Drosophila melanogaster: one gene and its partners. The protein of the gene in region 4 interacts with the protein of the main gene of each other region in a pairwise test. Each region holds a gene or a part of one and is shown on either strand. Other genes may lie near its edges. The genes, in order: drl, Tina-1, CG7298 and CG2246.

Evidence for each region.
Region 1: the proteins of CG2246 (region 4) and drl interact in a two-hybrid assay, tested with the Drosophila melanogaster proteins (one large-scale study listed by BioGRID).
Region 2: the proteins of CG2246 (region 4) and Tina-1 interact in a two-hybrid assay, tested with the Drosophila melanogaster proteins (one large-scale study listed by BioGRID).
Region 3: the proteins of CG2246 (region 4) and CG7298 interact in a two-hybrid assay, tested with the Drosophila melanogaster proteins (one large-scale study listed by BioGRID).

The regions. Positions count from the first base shown.
Region 1 is NT_033779.5:19,188,786-19,193,401, reverse strand, and holds the start of drl (derailed), read right to left. Parts: upstream 3,061-4,616; 5' UTR 2,674-3,060; coding exon 2,568-2,673; intron 1-2,567. Other genes in the region: pigeon, read right to left, coding at 3,817-3,956, 4,302-4,526, 4,597-4,616. UniProt on the Drosophila melanogaster protein: Probable coreceptor of Wnt proteins. Involved in neuronal pathway recognition and ventral muscle attachment site selection. Non-vital for development. May be part of a signal transduction cascade involved in learning and possibly memory.
Region 2 is NT_033778.4:24,940,109-24,944,255, forward strand, and holds Tina-1 (troponin C-akin-1), read right to left. Parts: upstream 2,306-4,147; 5' UTR 2,157-2,305; coding exon 2,142-2,156; intron 2,013-2,141; exon of another isoform or gene 1,334-2,012; coding exon 1,014-1,333; intron 947-1,013; coding exon 778-946; 3' UTR 517-777; downstream 1-516. Other genes in the region: CG2811 (uncharacterized protein), read right to left, coding at 1-286; CG15861 (uncharacterized protein), read right to left, coding at 3,555-3,657, 3,715-3,825, 3,911-4,147. UniProt on the Drosophila melanogaster protein: Putative gamma-glutamylcyclotransferase.
Region 3 is NT_037436.4:20,201,545-20,205,525, reverse strand, and holds CG7298 (uncharacterized protein), read left to right. Parts: upstream 1-1,838; 5' UTR 1,839-1,923; coding exon 1,924-1,930; intron 1,931-2,022; coding exon 2,023-2,612; intron 2,613-2,815; coding exon 2,816-3,328; 3' UTR 3,329-3,456; downstream 3,457-3,981. Other genes in the region: CG7290 (uncharacterized protein), read left to right, coding at 1-855; obst-F (obstructor-F), read left to right, coding at 3,929-3,981.
Region 4 is NT_033777.3:30,598,436-30,603,269, forward strand, and holds the start of CG2246 (uncharacterized protein), read right to left. Parts: upstream 3,055-4,834; 5' UTR 2,786-3,054; coding exon 2,766-2,785; intron 1,889-2,765; exon of another isoform or gene 1,484-1,888; intron 862-1,483; coding exon of another isoform or gene 269-861; intron 208-268; coding exon of another isoform or gene 1-207. Other genes in the region: CG31019 (uncharacterized protein), read left to right, coding at 1-207, 269-861; CG31021 (uncharacterized protein), read left to right, coding at 3,850-3,932, 3,991-4,284, 4,334-4,533, 4,592-4,834.

The DNA of each region.
Region 1 (4,616 bases), on a different chromosome or scaffold from region 4:
TGGGGTTGAGATTAGCAAGTGTTGATAGACAGACCCGAAACGTGACTGGCAACATCCATGGGTTACATGGATTAGGGAGGGATCTGCTCAGACAGCTGGCAGGGCTACAAAGTTGGGCAAAGTTAAAAGCCCCATTGAGCCAAGTGTGTGGCGGGGGAAAAGTTTTCCGAATGTTATAGGATGTTATAGGTTCTGGCTATATGAATTTAATTGCTTTCCTTGCCATTAACAGTGGGGTGCCACAAAGCCTGGGAGATCAGTGTCCTAAGATGGAATAATGGTAGTTCCCTTTAGATAACGTGTTACCCTTGACTATCCACACCCAACGCCGACAACTTTGGTCACTCATTGCAACCGCAAAATCCATCAACTGCACCGACTTTACATATCCGCTCATTTCGCTAACGAGCTGGGCCACAGAGCCACCGAACCAAGAAGACCCTCGCCACCGCCGCCCGGCTTGATCCACACCTGACATGGTTTGCATAGCATAGAGCACAGCAATTTGGGGCGCACTTCTGGATGGAGAAGTGGGTGGGCCATGGGATGGAACATGTGTGCTATGGGTATGTGTTCGGGTATGGATGTTAGCCTAACGAACAGTGAATGCCATGCCGCAGCTGCATGCAAGTGCATGGAGCTCTTCTTTGGGCGATTCTCCTTCACTCTGCTCCTGGGTTGACAATTTAATTGATGTGCACTCACACAAAGGCTTTTGAAGCGACCGCTAAAAAAATAAAGTGAAATAAAATAAAATAGAGTGACACCTAGCCAGGCGTTGCGAACACACACACAGTGAAGTCTCGGAAAGTAGGTCAGGCATGCAACCCGCTGTCAGCGCTGAATAATTGGAGAGGGTATCGCCACCCAATCCCGAAAGCCCAAAACCAAAAACCAAAAACCCTCTGGGGAAAGTGCAATTGGAGGAGTCGGGAATCGGGCGAAAAATGAATAGCGGCCACCGCTTAATGGGTTTTAATGCTGATTTCGTTTGACACTCGGCTGACACAACTAATAAATTTTCCGCTGCCATGTCAAGTGGAAAGCCTCAACTGGCCATCCATCCCATAGCAAACCATCCCACCCACTTGCCGTATCGCCTTTGATTGATTGTCTGCTGGCGCTTTCAACTGATTGCGAGGTGTGTAGTGGAGCAGCCAGGACTCGGGGGCCAGAACTGCAATCAAACATGAATTACGACGAGTGGCAGACGCTGATAAGCGGCTAGATAAGCGCCTGATTAGCAGCCCGGCACTGCAGTTCAAATATTTACCCAGTTATTCACAAGTGACGCGATGCAATCTGCGTACCTACATACTCCGCACTCCGCACTCCGAAACTCCTGACGCCCATCAATCAGCCGGAGGCACAAACACGCGAGTGTTGTAAATTTTACAACATAATTTTTGATAATTTTTCCCTATCAGCTATACAGCTCCCTGCGCCCCCGATCCACAGAACACACTGCCTACAAAACAAACACTTTGCATGTGTTTTATGATGCCACATGGATGTGGCACAACTTGGGCCGCTTCACCCTTTCCTTTTGGCCCATGGATTGAGGCTACTGATTTATTTTTTATATTCACTGGGTTGTAAATTCTTTGTCTGGGCCCTGTGACACATTGTAAAACAATTTTCCCCACTTTTATTAGCTTGGCAATCTCTTCGACAGGATTTGTGTGTGTTTCTTTCTGGCGGGGAATGGCTTGGGTCCAAGAAGACGAGGTTGGGGATGGGGATCGGGGCGAGGTATAAATATAAAAGTAGATTAAAGGTACTTGGGCTGCGGACTCGAGCTATCCCAAGCCGATTTGCTTGGCCAAGTGGAAACCTGGTTATTAGATGGAGATAAACAAATCTGTTTTGATAAGGGCTAAGAATCAGTCACTCGGATTTTTAAGCTTATTAGAGTAGTATTCTTCTATGGAAAATAGTTAGGCTAAATAAATAATATAAACTAAACTAAACTAAATATTTAAATACTCATTTTGGTGTCATTTTTTGACTACATGATTTTACTATTTATTTTCTTTTGAAGACGTTTATAAAATATATCTAAAATTGTTTTGTATTGTTTTAAATTGGATAAACTATGAAAAAATATGATTTTTTAAATAAAAACTTTGATTATAGAGGGATTACTTATCTAGAGATGAATCCACTTGCCAATCGAATTTAATTTAACGCAAAGAAATACAAATTTAAATCGCTTTAGCATTTCTATTTATCTAGATAAGTCTAACGAACAATTAAATCAAAGAAACAGGAAATCATGCTAGACAAATAGAATGTTTTCTTGTTTCTCGGTGAGCTGGCCAATTGAAGGAGGGACAATACTACTTTATATGTAGCTCCGAGGCTAGAAACAATTAAAAGGCATATATTATTTACGCAAAAAGAGTAAATAATCCCAGCAAGTCGCATTCGTTTGCCCAGGAGACAAAATCCCGGCTTGGCATAAATCAAATTTGATTTAAAGTCGAACGAACGCACACAAAGTGGCAAATAATTGCCCAGTTAATTGAAAAGCCAAAAGGCAGGCGAAAATCAACACGATTACTTACCGATTAGGCGCAGCACCTCGTGCAAGTTGAGGAAAATATTGAGATGGGCCTGACCGCTGGCGATCAGGGTCAAAAGTAATCCGATTGTTAGCAAGTTGGGGGCCATCTTTCGGATTCGATTAATCCGCCGGTTGTTTAGTCGCAATAAGAGGAAGAGATAGTTTTAACTGCAGTTCGGCTACTCTGCCGATTTTCTATTTCCCGTTTGGCACTCGCTAAAACGATTTAATTTCCGCTGCACTGCTGTTCACTTTTTGCGCTGCATTTGCAATTTTACGAGCGTCGCGTTGATTTCAATCGCGCTGATTATTACAGGAATTATTTGTCAGAGCATTTGGCACTTTGCCTTCTGGCCGGGAAAACTCAGGCGCACATATTTCCCAATCAGTCTCTGTCTCTGCACCCGTTTTTCCTCGCTTTTCTCGCCGTTCGTCCGCGTTCGTTTTCCGCGTTTGATCCGCTCACCGTGACGATTTTCCACAAACTGTCAACTGGATAAACAAACACTTCGCCACGAAGCGAATGGCTTCCACGCCGAGCGGAGTGGAGTGTGGACTGTGGACTGTGTGTGGCGCTCGTGGACTTGTTCTGTAGAACTTGAAGGCTGGAACCCGTATAACAGTCGTGTTGGAACCTCGAACTCGGTTGCAGTTCGAACATCTCATCGAACATCTCCAATTGGCTAAATACCAAAACTGGCATACTGTTCGATATCCTTTATTAAATTAACTAAACAAACATTCATATAAAGTTTAAAAAATAGACCCACAAACTTCCCAAATGAATTCGAATTAATGATGTAATATAATGATTTTAACCTTTTAACTTTTTTTTATTGTGTTTGATTCAATTTCGAATTAAACTCATGTTGCCAAAAATAAACATTACGACATTTTATACTTTATAAATCGTTAGTTTATTACAGAAAGAGAGACAGAAGCTTGCAGAAGCATAAAATAAATAAGTACAGAATATATAAATACGTACATGATTTTAGGTACATCAATTAACAACATAAATAATTTATAATTACAGACTTGGAATGTGTATCAGTCGTTACACAAATAATAGGAACAGAAAATTAATACTAAAAGCACACAGAAGAACCCTAACAAAAATCAAAGCTGCACGAGAAGAATCTTAACTAATACATTTGACAAATCAAATCTTTGGAATATTTGCAAACTGGCCTTGGCTAAGTACTTGATAATTTGACACAATACTTCATTAGTTACTCTTAACATTAAATTCAAGCCTCCAGTTTCAGCTGATCGATGGAGCTTAGAGTAGTTTCAATAAGCAGATTGTAGTCCAATTCGTTTAGACTGGCCTTCGCAGTCAGCAGGTCCAGAAAGGAGTCCAGTGGCGAAAGGGCTTCGGCAGTTAGATCTGCAAGAATACCAACCAAATTGGTCATTAGAGAGGTGGCTATGGTTAAGTTAGATAACAAGAAACAAAATGTGCAAATGGGACAACGACTGGCGAACACTGAACAGCGTTTCTTACCGGTCAGCGATGGGAATGTTTTCTACCAGATGAGAGGGCGCTGCCTGAACGCATAGCTCGATATGCTCAGGACGACCGTGGTTAGAATGAAAAGCAGAAAAACCAAAAGCAGCGAGTGACAAACAACAGTGTTGGGCTTGCCCAAAGCTGGACGAGATGTGTTCGGGTGAAGAGTGTACAAATGAAAAGTTAACGTGTTTATGGCGGGCTAACCAAGCAAGATCTTACCGCTCCGCGCATTATTTCGCGATTGATTCACGCAGGCCGTGGGTCGCTGCTGGTGCAACACCTCCTGCTGCTGACCCGACAGAATGTTGGCCGCATGCTCGCGTCCGCGGATCATAAGGCTGTCCGGATGCTGCCAGCATTTGAGTAACCTTTGAGCACGCTGCTTGGGCAGAGCAGACAAAAGTGATAGCTTCCGCTCAATGCCCAGTGGAGAATCTTCAATATCTGAAGGAATACATTAAGCAATAATGAAATGAACAGTATATGAAAACAAGTATATATATTTGTTACAAACCGAAAACAATGGCCTTCATC
Region 2 (4,147 bases), on a different chromosome or scaffold from region 4:
CATAGTAGTCCGGGTAGTCTTCTAGTATGTCCAGTTTGGAGAGCATGGTCTCGTCCACTTCGTAGACTTCGCCTTCTATGTGGTTCCCCTCACCCGGGCGGGCGAGCAGAAATGGGATGTTGTAGCGGGTTCCGACAACCAGGGGAAACTTCGTTTCCGTTTTCCCCCTTCCAAGGAATCGGGCTTGGCCGTTCTCCTTTTTCGTCAGCCAGTGGTGATTGGGCTCACCGCGCTTCAACGTGCCATACACAAAGACCCTTGCCGCCATTCTCAGCTTTTCAGCCATTGCGCTTCCCGCCGCCAGGCTTATCAGTTTCAAGCGGTATCGTGCTATCAAATCCGACCTGTAGATTGCGCAGTCGACATAACCCGTCCGCTCTTCTTCTTGCTGCCATTCGCACCGAATCTAGCCTCCGTACACCGCGAGAAACTGAAGCCCTCGGCACTGGGCTGTGGAAAATTACCAGGGACTGCTGTCCAGCATCTTTACTTCTATAATAGAACGAGGGGCATTTTATTTTATTTTAAATTGCTTCAGTTTATTTGCTTTGTTTGTCGAAAACTATCAAATTACAGACTACGTTTGCTAAAACCTAAATAATGCGTATGGTACATATGTATCAGTTTATATCGTTTGCCCATATATACGGGTATATATCGATCAGTACATCTGCGTCTGCAAGTACGGTCTTAAAATGCAACTACGGTAACATAAGATTAGTGGCCAGGCTATCCAGAGAACATCCAAACAAACGGGCGACACCACAACCCACGTTATTAGTTCTGGGCCTCGTAGGTGAGGTCGTCCTGGGCCGGATGCTTGTGGGTGCGGCGATGGCGCATAATGTATGGATGGGTGGTTGAGTTCTCGTAGCTGGACAAGTAGCGCAGACTAAGTAGGTTCTCCGGGTACTTCTGCAGCAGGTACACCCAGCATGGAACGGTTCTGGAAAGGAAATTGTGACCCATCACACCACATTGCTGAAATGACGTCAGATCCGACTAATGCTCACCCTTCTCCAACGCCAATGTTCATATCGTGCATCTCGCGAGTGTAGATCTCCTCGCAATCCTCCAGGTTGTCCAGGGAATTCAGCATTCGATCGTCCACCTCGTAGATCTCCCCTGTTACGTAATATCCCACTCCGGGCTTGTTCAGCAGGAAGGGAATGTTGTAGCGGGTGGCGATCACTAGCGGCAGCTTTTGGGTGGTGGTCGCCTTGCACCAGAACTTAGCGAAGCCGTTGCCAGAGCTGGCCAGGATTGAGTTGCTGGGCTGTCCGTACTTGAGGGCGCCGTACACGAAGAGCTTGCTCAAGGCGGAGGAGACTTTCTGTGGAGTGCGTGAGAGGTGGGTGTGGCGTAAAGACAGATAAGTAGGGTTAGGTTAGAGATCTGATAAACTGGTGGTATCTTGTGAGAGTTTGCTCTACTGGTATCAATCGATCGCCGTGGCTTATCAGGGATCAGGGATCCGAACACTTTCCACTGGCTAGCCCCCGCAAGTTATTGATAAGGTTCACGAAACGTCTCGGTGTTTGGCGAGATTCTCAGCTGAACCGCTTTTTGGGCGAGAATGGGATGGCTCAACCGGTTTCGTGCATTCACACGTTTATTCTTAAAGTCTGTTATTGTTGCTAATATATGTACGTAGCTGTTTCGTATTTTTGGGGCTGAGTGCGTGCCTCACAAACTGCGCAGCAGTTACGCCTCCACAGGTACATATGTATGGAGACACTCGCTATCTGTACACATGTAATTGGCACATTAATAATTGCTTAAATCGGTTTAATCATTGCAGTAAATGGATAACACACGCAAGCGGCCTTAAATCAATGTCATCAAACGGTTGCATCAAAGCATCTTGGCGAATCCGCTTACATAACCCAGAACAGGCATCAGCTCACACTCATACATATGTAGATATCTTAAAAATTCCAATAAACTATCTGATAACCCTCCGATGGATCGGATAACTTAAAATGCCTTAAATTTAGTTCCCAAGCTCTCAGGCTTTTACACGCTTTCCATTTGGGGCTGCCCACTTGCCAAGGACGAAGGATAAGGGATGCGTATACACAAGCTAAAAGTGTGCATGTGTGCGTGGGCTTCACATTGTGCTGCACTCTTAATCAGCTTACCTTTGCTTGGCCCATTTTCTTGTCGAACCGCCTGCAGATAATTAAAATTGCAAATTGCTGCACTAAGCAAAGGCGAGAGAGCTCTTCGGGATTGGATAGGATAGTGTGCACGAGCTCCAGCAGAGATACAACCGCGCCGATGGCCAGCAAAACTCCAACTAAATCGTGATGGAGAACAACGTCGGCGGACACGGTGCTGCCGCCTGCCACTGTTGTTGTTGTTATTGCTTCTGGCACAGTGGAGCAAAGTCACAACGTGTTATTGGTTCAACTTATATAAATATATTGCATATGAAAGTATTAGTCGACACTACGTGGAAAAGCAATTCTTAAATAATAATTATGGTATATATCCAATTTCATCAAAATTGGAAAAAGGAAGAAAATATTATTTGCCCTGTTTACTGACTCTGCCCAGTGTGCCTTGTCGTCAAGACCAAGAGGCCCGCCTCTAGTGGAACAACAACAAGTAAAACAATAACACGCCACACGCGCAAAGCTAAAAATGACGGTTCTGCCGACTGGTCTTTATCTAAGAAATATCCTCTGGGGGGGGGTGTGGGTTAGTTGAAATACCCGAAATATTATAGGCCCCGCAAGCACAAACACTCTAAAATTCGGGCATTATCAATGGCCTAATAACATCTGAGCACAGAAGTCCCTCTTGAGATCCACGCTCCCTCTATGATACCCCCCCCTAGCAGCATTTTAGTTCGCTGGCGACGCCTCTGGAGAACACGTACGCATGTCTTCTTCAGTTTCTCTGCTGATCGGTGGGGATCGGAAATCGTATACTGTATATTGTAATATTCTGCACTTCCATGTGTCCGATTTGTTATAAACAATAACAAAGTCTCTTTGTAATTGATTGGTTGATAGGTGGGGGAGGGGGTGCGGCAACAACAACACCAAAACCAAACCAGTTGACATGCGCTCTTTAAAATCAAAATCTCACTGCGCTCTCTGAATTGTGCCCTGCGAAAGGTAAGGCATTTTAGTTTTCGGACTCAATACGAACTATCAAGCGTAACTACATATTGTATATTGTTGCCCATTCATTATGAAAGGGTAAGCACTCAATAAAGTTAGTGCTTCTCATATTTCCTCAGGTTAGATAAATCGATATAATACATATGCATAATGCGTTTTTGAAGTTGGTATTTTAATATGGACAAATTATAGGTTACTTTATGAGGCGATTAAAGCTGTTTTTATATTTTATGTTATTCCTTACAGTTTCTAAAGACAAGATTGCCTTTCCATAAAAATTTTAAATCAATAAAAAGAGTAACATAGTCTTGTAGCTTAATTCATAAATAATCATGAACCTAAACAATAAATACATATATTAAAATCCATACGACATCAGCGGGACCTAAAACAGCCCCATTGCTGTCAAACCTCCTCTCTAGGTCAATAGTTCCCGGAGCAGATGCCGTTGTGAGCATAATGGTGCTGTTTGTGCCGGCAGGCACACAAGTTAGGAGCGAAGCAGTAAGCTCGTGGTCCGCAGTTGCTGGAGGTACAGTTTAGGGCAAGTGTGGCGAAAAGATATAGCGACAATCAAACTTACTGATCACAGATTGGCATGCATTGCTGTCCATGAAGCAGGCTGTCCCTTAGCTCGTATCCCTGGGCACAGATGCACCGTCCGTCGGAGGAGCAGTTGCCATGTGTGCAGCGCCTGGAAATGAGAAAGGGCACATAAACGCATACGTATGTATGTACACTTCCTAAGCGATAAGGTGAGGAGCAAGAATCATACTCACCCAAGGCAGGGGTCCAGCAGACGGGGAGCCCTGTGGCGGCACTTTTGGGAGAGGGGATCAAAGTAGTAGTGCCTGTCCTCACGGCACACACAGAGATCTGGTGCGGCGCAGTAGCCACCTGCCGCCACGCACCCGGGGAGGCACTCTGCGGCACACACCAAACCATCCGGATTACCCGCCATATACTGATCGGCACAGGGACAGGATCCGTCCTCGAAGCACACTCCATTCAGGCAG
Region 3 (3,981 bases), on a different chromosome or scaffold from region 4:
GTGTACAAGAACAACTATCCATGCAGCGAGTCCGCCGGTGATGGCTCCACTGTGTCGGTCGCCCTCAACCTATGCAATCTTGTCAAGAATGGCTTTTACTTTGGAAGCCCTTCCGACTGCAGTGGCTGGAACTTCTGCCAGGACAACGTTCTGCACTCGGGATCCTGCGAAGATGGTCTAGTATTCAATGTGCAGGCCAGCAACTGCGGCTACAAGATGGCCTCATCCTGCGCCCAGGTCACCAATGATCCATCCCTGACCGGAGTGTCTGCTCCGACCACATGCTCCTCGTCGGGAGCAACGATCGCAGCCACCGCGTGCAACCAGTACTACCTGTGCTCCGCCGGCAACTATCAGCTGATGACCTGCCCCTCGGGATACTACTATGATACCATCTCGAAGGCGTGTGTGACCAGGATGGAAGCGAGGAACGACTGCGACAGATGTGTGGGCACCACTGCGACCTTTGTAAACGCCTACTCGGCAACCAATTGCTCTGATTACCTATACTGCGTGAACGGCGTTCAGAAGGCCGTGGAGAGCTGCCCCACCAACTACTACTTCAACGAGAACCTCGGATCCTGCGTAAACGGGTTGGAGCCCAAGTTCCTCTGCTGCAATCCCACGCAAAGCGATGGAACTTCGACGTCTTCCTCTGGTTCGACTTCCTCGGGCTCGACTTCCTCCGGATCGACTTCCTCTGGGTCAACTTCCTCCGGCTCGACTTCCTCTGGCTCGACTTCCTCGGGCTCGACTTCCTCTGGCTCGACTTCCTCGGGCTCGACTTCCTCCGGCTCGACTTCCTCTGGAACTTCATCCACAACCTCTACTGGAACAAGTTCAGACAAAAAATAATTTAAATAGCATTTATGCCAAAAATAATAAATACAAATCAAGTTTGGCAACTCAATTAAAAGTATCCACCCAAGTTATTCGCACAGTAATAGGGTATATGAAGTAAAGTGTTCTAAAAAGGATATATATTCTTAATTCGGATAGGAAATCGGCAAATAAAAGAGCTAAAATGCCCAAAAAACTGTCACCAAATGCGACAAGAATAAAGGAAAATTTCCATCGACGTACAGAAGATCCAAGGAAATACCATCAACACTTTATTGACCCCATATGGCAGGGCAATAAAGCCGAAATTAAAGATTGCCTGAGCGAAAAGTTTTTCATCGCCAAACAAGTTTTACTGGGCAGCGTCAACGCCATACAAAAGCGATAAGAGTCCATTCAATTTAAGGTGTAGCTGTTAAAGTTACATAATATACATACATTATACATATAACAAATTTAAACCATTTGCTAGAAAAAGTTCTTATTTAAATGAATAGCATTAATTAGGGTAAAATATTATATTATTTTTAAGAAAGGGTCGTTTTCTATTGCACAACATTATCCCGATTAAAAGACCTTGATTTGATTAATCTTACAACACTATCGAATGAAAACCCCACTTTTCAGTTATTGTACAACACTAGGCTTAACTACACGATGTTTTACTTTCCAAGGTAGACCTACACCATTGATAAGGATGTGGCTGCGTCAGTTGTTTGTTTTTTTTTTTTTTTTTTATTATTAAGTTGCGGAACAGATAGAAATAATGACAGATAAAGAGCTACTTAGTGGTTAATACAACTATACTTTAATTAAAATCGGTTAAATAACACCCCGAAAAGATGTTCAGCGTCTATCTGGTGGAATAAATAAAAAATGGAACAATGTTTCACTGTCTATAATTCCTGAGAATAGCTGGGCTTATCTACATTCAATTTACGATCTCGATGGCCAAGTTCGAATCGTAGACCTATAAAAACCAGGCAATGGGAAAACTCCACCATCAGTCTTCGACAACCTTTCATTGGCCGATACAAGTGGTATTCGATCCCCAACAGCGGCAAAAAGTATTACCAACTAACGATGACAGGCAAGTGTTTCGCATGGGATATGATCTGTGGTCTATGGTCGAATAAACACCAGGAGTTTCGCTAATTGATTTGCGTGATTTCTGGCTTGCAGGCAAACTTCTACTGGCCACGATCCTGTGCCTAATGGGCGGCCAAGCCTTGGGCGATGCGATTCTGGAAGGAAACTACAACGTTACGGCCGTCTGCACGGCGGTTAAGGTCGGAACGCAGCTGGGCAGCATCGAATCCTGCCAGACGTACTACGTCTGCCAGTCCACCGGACCCGTGCAGTCCTCGTGCCAATCAGGCTACTCGTACGACTACAAGAGATCCTCCTGCTATCCAAGCAGCGAGGTGGACTGCTATTGGGGCGTTGAGAATCCCTGTGCTGGCAAGAATAACACCTGGGTGCCAAACACTGCCGTTTGTGGTGGATGGTTCTACTGCCTTGAGGGCAAGTCGGCGGGCTCCGGAAACTGCCCGGTGAACCAGAAATTCGATACCACCACACTCGCCTGCGTTTATGGAACCTGCTCCAACACTCAAGGTACTAATGAAACCGTGCTAGAATCACTATGCGATGTCGTGCCACCTGGCCAATATTTCGGCGATACTGAGAGCTGCTCCACCTGGCACTACTGCGAGTCCACCTCCACCGGACTCGTTTTGCAGTCGGGTAAATGCTCTGCAAACAATCAAACTGTGAGTTACCAATTGCAAACCTACTAAATCCCTGCCTAGATCCCAAAAGACATGACAAGTCCGTTAACCAAATCTTTACAATTTCTTACATCCTTGATATGAAATCCAATCATATGGAAAGTTAACGAACTTTCATAGGCACCTCGATCATACTGGACAATTACCTGCATCCTTTAGTGAATGTGATTTACTTCTTTCCGCAGGCATACAACGTGCTCGCCAATCAATGTACCTACGAAAGTGCCTCCGTCTGCAGCCGTGTGACCAACATTCCGCTGAGCGATGCCGCAGTTTCCTGCTCCACGAACGGTGCCAAGTCAGCCGATCCCAAGGTGTGTGGCACCTATTATGTGTGCACGAACGGCAAAAATGTGGCCACCTACTGCCCCACTGGCGACTACTACGACGACAGTTTAGGGTACTGTGTGTCCCGCCAGGTCGCCACTCCGGTGGCGGGATGCAATCGATGCCAGTATGCTACGTCGACGTTTGTAAACGCCGTCGATTCGAATAACTGCTCCACCTACTACTATTGCAACAGCCAGGGCGAGGCCACTTTGAACACCTGCCCGGCCGATACATTCTTCGATGAGTCACGTCAGGGATGCAAGTCCGACGACGACCTGTCCACATATGTGCCATTGAACGGAGCCTGCAAAGGAGCCACCGCCGAAGGATCAGAAGAAACCGATAATAGTACGACCGATGCCGAATAAGCCCAATTATCGTGAAGGGCTTTCAGGTTGGAACTCAACGGAACAGGAGTAACTGACAACGCGACCCTATGTATTTACCACTTAGTATTCAGTATCTAATAAATGCAATAAAAGCTATGTTCGCAAGCAAATCGTGGTGATTTTCCTTACCCAACAAGATGTGAGAAATTCAAAAGGAGATACCTTTTGCAGCATCTGAATATTCTATTCTTCATGATAAGTTCGAGGTTTTTCTGGGCTCAAACCAATGCTTCCTAGGAAATCATCTAAAATTATTGAAATAACAGCTGATCTGGCTGTAGAAAGTGTATTACTTCATGTACATCGTTCGAAACTGGTTGATTAGGATATATTTAGATGACTGGTATTTTTAGAAGTGAGCATATCGCGCGCATCACTTCACTGAATGATATCTAAAAACTCAAACATTGCGATCTGCGCAGAATGCAAACACAAGTTTTCGATTAGCTCTTACAAATGGGTGTGGCCCATTTGAACGACCTTATAAAAGGGTCGGTCGTGAATCGGCCGAACCATTAACATAGGTAGTTTGGAGTCGCAAAGAACCGTTATCAGAAGTAAAGGGCACTATTAACTACAATGCAATGCTCCTGGGCATATGTCCTGGCATTGAGCATCTGCTTCCAGTTGGG
Region 4 (4,834 bases):
TATTCCCGCGACTCTTCGCTAGCAACGCACAGGACTACGTGGCGGATCACACGATGTTCAATGCGGACGAACGGAAGGCTGGCAGCATGCGGAGATTCAGCTGCGAGAGACTCAGTGACACGGTGAATGCCTACACATTGGAGGTCTCCATGGCCGGTCACTACCTCAAGGATGGCAAGACCATCTCCCTGTACAACGAAGATGGCTGTGAGTATATGCCTGCAAACTAAGCTGATAGGGTTCCTAATGAGCTGGTATCTTCCTCCAGATTACCGCGTGGGCAGGAATCTGGCCAGGACTTTGCTTCAGTACTATCGCTTCATTAACATCCTGCCCATGCCGATTGTGACAGAGGTCAGGAGCAAAAGGCGGGGGCGAAACCGCCATGCCCACCACTCCCGATCCCGGTCGAAAACCCGCTACGAGGTGAAGCCCCGTCCCAAGACGCCCCGATGCCACGCCCCCATTGCCTACACAAACCTAAGTATATGCTACGATTCGGGTGGAGGAGGCGGATCCTCGGACGAGGGAGGATTTTCGCCCGCCCGTCCCTTGGCTCCTGGAAGCAGTTGCTTTAGCGGGTACCGCAACTACCGGAGGGCCGCCACAGCAAGTTGCTCCGCGCACCCAGGTCACGATCAGTACTCCCCCTTCGCACTGGGTGCCCTGAAAACGGGCAGCGACCACGGCGGAGGAGTTGGTGGCTCCAAGGGCAAGCGATCAGCAGCGGTCACCATCGAAGTTCCCCTGCCCGTGAATGTGCCCCCCAAGCCTTATCTGTCCATCATCGACTTGAATCAACTGACCAGGGGAAGCCTTAAGCTGAAGTCCAATAGCTTCGATGCCGCAGACAGGAGATAGGATCAGTGATGTGATGTGGAACATGATGACCCCGGACGTTAGGGATTCGAAGAGAGTGACGAGTTTTTTTTAGGTATAACCAAGATCAAGTCTTTTCTACGCTTCTTGCTTGTTTTTCTAAATAAAAGGTTGAAACTATTAATTCAAAAGTATTGAACCTTTACTTTTTATTGTAGTCTATATTTTAATAACACCAAATTGATTGTATAGACATTGTACGATGAAACAAGTAATTAGATTGTTTCTGATACAATCAAGTAATTATTACCAAATCTAATCAATAGATTTATGTTAGCTGGGGGTAGGCACTAGAATTTCCATAAATATAACGAATTAGCTTCATATCAGTAGTATTGGGATTGTAAATCTCCTTCTCTTTTGTCCTTCTTCTAAACAAACAGTTATGCGACCACTTTTCACTCGGAAAACCGAAGGGCAACAAGTCGCGCAATTGAGTGGCATTTCGAGTGGGTTGGCTTATCTCCCCAGCATGTATTGTTGTTGTTATGTGCTCTTAATTTGGCTCGCAACCAGAAAGTACAAAATAAAACACATTTCACTCAATTGGCGACATGTGAGCTTTTATCACACCATTTAGATGCGGTTATTTACAGTAACTCACGGCGAACAAAGAACAGAAGTAACTGAGTGGGCATCAATTTCACTCGCTGCGCACGTGAGTGTGAGTAAAATGGTCCTAGACAATCGCTCATCAGTAATTAGATGGATTAGCTGCCACTTTTATCTTATCTTTTATCAAACGCGATATTGCTATAACCTCCTAGGGATATGAAAATGCAATATATGTACAGACTACTCTCACTCACGCAGGAAAACACGCGCGAAAAGTGTTGATAAGAGCACAACTAGCGGGCGACTGATTAACGTTTTCAATTAACACGGAATCGGATCCGGAATAGGAATGAAATCAATAAAAAAAATAGGCAGCCAGACGTTGCTTTCTTACACTTATTTTTCGTATAAATAAAAGCGAATGACTGTGGACACAGTGGAGCGCAAAAGCGAGGGCTGCGCGGCGTTGCCAGATCGCTGGAGTGAGGTAATGGTGGTGGCAAACAGCTGTTGCCGCTTTGAGTGGAATCCAGCAAGGAACTGTACAAGTTACAACCATATTTAAGGTTTTTAAGCATATGTGGGTCAATTAAGTTACTTATTTATCTTTTTAATGGTTTAATCTTCTTGCGTATCATTGTGTTCAAGTGGGTCCGTTAAAAAGTGGTCAATGGAACATGTGGATCACAACAAAGCCCCCAATGAGAGTTTATCTCACTCTCTTAGCTTTTTGAGAGAGGAAATCAATAAGGAACATTAATCGACCGATCTGACTCGCACGCAATTAAATATTCTTATTGAAATATATAGTTTTCATGTATATTCATAATGCCAGTAATTAAAAAAGACTTAATATCATTATAATTCAAACCAAACCAATGCATTTTGTTCAGTGTACACAAGAGAGAGCGTTGTCACGGAAAGAGGAGAGCAAAACAAAGACGGAGAGGCAAACGGCGATGAAGTAACAAAATGAGAACGGCAATAACAACATCGAAAGCGGGCTAAAAATAAAATGCAAACACAAATTCCAGTACAAAAGAAGTAAAAAGCAAAAGGAGGTGGGGTTTTGCTCTTGTTAGCACCAGCACGCAATTGATAAAATTTGGTTAGACAAACAAAAGCTGTAATTGAAAACCTGGCTATAATCTTCGCGGGCACTGGAATAGAACAGGGAAAACGTATTAGAACAGGGAAAACGTATTAGAACAGGGAAAATGTGATGAAGGGTGGGAGGAACACACGCAAACAGCGGGACACTAATTAAATTATACATGAAACACACAGAAATCATAGAAAAAAGCTAGAAATTAGCCGCTAAAAAGTTTTACTTGTTCCGCTGCAGCAGCATGTTGACTTTTCGAAGAATTAGCTGTTTTATCTCGACGCTTATGGATTTATATTCAAGTTTTCTCTTCTTTCTTGCCTAGATCTATATCCTGTTTTTAGCAGTGTTAACAGGCCGAAGAAAGTAGTAATTAATACAGAGACACTATCACACATTCGCCGATTATATTAGCTATTAATAAACGTTTATCAATAATTACTCTTTTCTTCACGACACTGCTTCACTTAATTCGCACTTTTCCGAAAACTCAGACAAAACTGCCACAAAATCCTCGCAATTATTCGAACAGCTGATGAATCGATGATTTCGTATATCGATAATCGACTGAGATTAGTGATGACATCATTTCGATAGTAAGTACTCATTTTATTCAATATGCGTCTAGATTATAATAATTTACATGCATACTATGCATACATTCAGAAGCTGTTTTTTCATTGCGTTTTGAAAGTCCCTGTTCAAGGGCTACTTCAAAAATGTTTCTGAGGCTTTTATTTTCGAAACGAGTCATGCAGAATAGACACAACGACGACGTCATCGTGCTGAAAACAAATAGTAGAGCTGATGTAAAACTCAAATACTACTAAAATGTTACAACAGATAAACAAAAACAATATCAGATGTTTTGTTTACTTCCTAGAAATCAGAGATGTGTGGAGTCTGCTACTTTGCCGATAGTAGCCATCCTTCTGGCAGCACTAGTTGGGTGGAAAACTCCGCTTACTCCAATTCTGGATGGGTGGGTGCATTTGCTAAGTACACTGTGTCAAAAATTGTCTTACTGTTTTGTTTTCGGTATAAGCTTGTAAAAAGGTCCAAAAATTAGTGGTTTGAATTGTATTATGTTTCTTGAATCCAATTTATGGATTTTCCTTGCCGAATTATTTAGTCACAGATATTTAGCTGAGTCGAATGCATTACATTTCGGACTTGGTGTTCTTCATCCTTAAAATTTAGTTTTCTCCAATACCCAACCAATCATGGCTGTGTCATTTTGGCTTGCGATTCTGCTTTTGATCCTTGGCTGTTACAGTTTTAAGGCTCTAAGTGAGAAACAAGTGCGGGAAATGCTGAATCTAGAGCGCAATCTCCTGCAGAATATGCGTGACTATGCCGAAAAGCTGGAGGAGAAGATCGACCTTATAAACAAGTGCGTCAGAAATCCTTTCCCAATCGTACCAATTGAGATGAAAATATTTTTAATATAGTTATGTGGAAGATTATAACGTCGACATAGAAGATGCCAACGAGGATCCGGAGAAGTACCTCTCCAATCCGCTGAACTCCTTCCGATTGATTAGACATATGCACCAGGATTGGGTCGGCTGGCAGGTGTACATGGAGGATCTGGTCGCACCCGAGGCGGTGCAGAAGGTGGAGAGCCTACTGCCGCAGCTTCCTCAGAAGGAAGCCTTCAGGAAAGCGGCCAGGAGTGTGCATAGCTTGACCCAGTTTTACGGCTACGAGCCCGCGGATCTGGTTGCCAAAGATGAACGAAGCAGGTGGGAGTCTATATAAGTGTTTACCATTTTGGAAACTTAATTCCACTAGTTCCTTGCATCTTTCACCTTTGGACTGCTATCACTTGGGACTGGAGCTCTACGAGGAGCAGGACTATCTGGGTGCAGCCAAGTGGCTACAAGTGGCTGCCCATAACTACACCCTCTCGAGGCACAGAGATTTGTTCAATCCACTGGGCGCACCACGCTGGCAGGTCTATCGAGATCTGGGCAGGACCCTACTTAAACTGAGTGCGGTTCGCATACTCCCGGACAAACTAATGGGTATTAACACCAATTTATCTGGTAGATCGACAGTGCGCATATGATGCCTACGAATCAGCACTTCGATTGAATTCCCAAAACGTGCATCTCATGAAGGAAGCTGGACAGATGGAGCTATTCAGCCTAAGGGATCCCATGGAACCCATACTGGATCTTCAGCCAAAACCGACCGTTCTGGAAAAATATTGTCGAGGCGAAGTTCCGCGACATCAGGGTCGTCTGACGTGCGAGCTTAATGACTGGGTCCATTCGTTCCTTGCCTACGCAC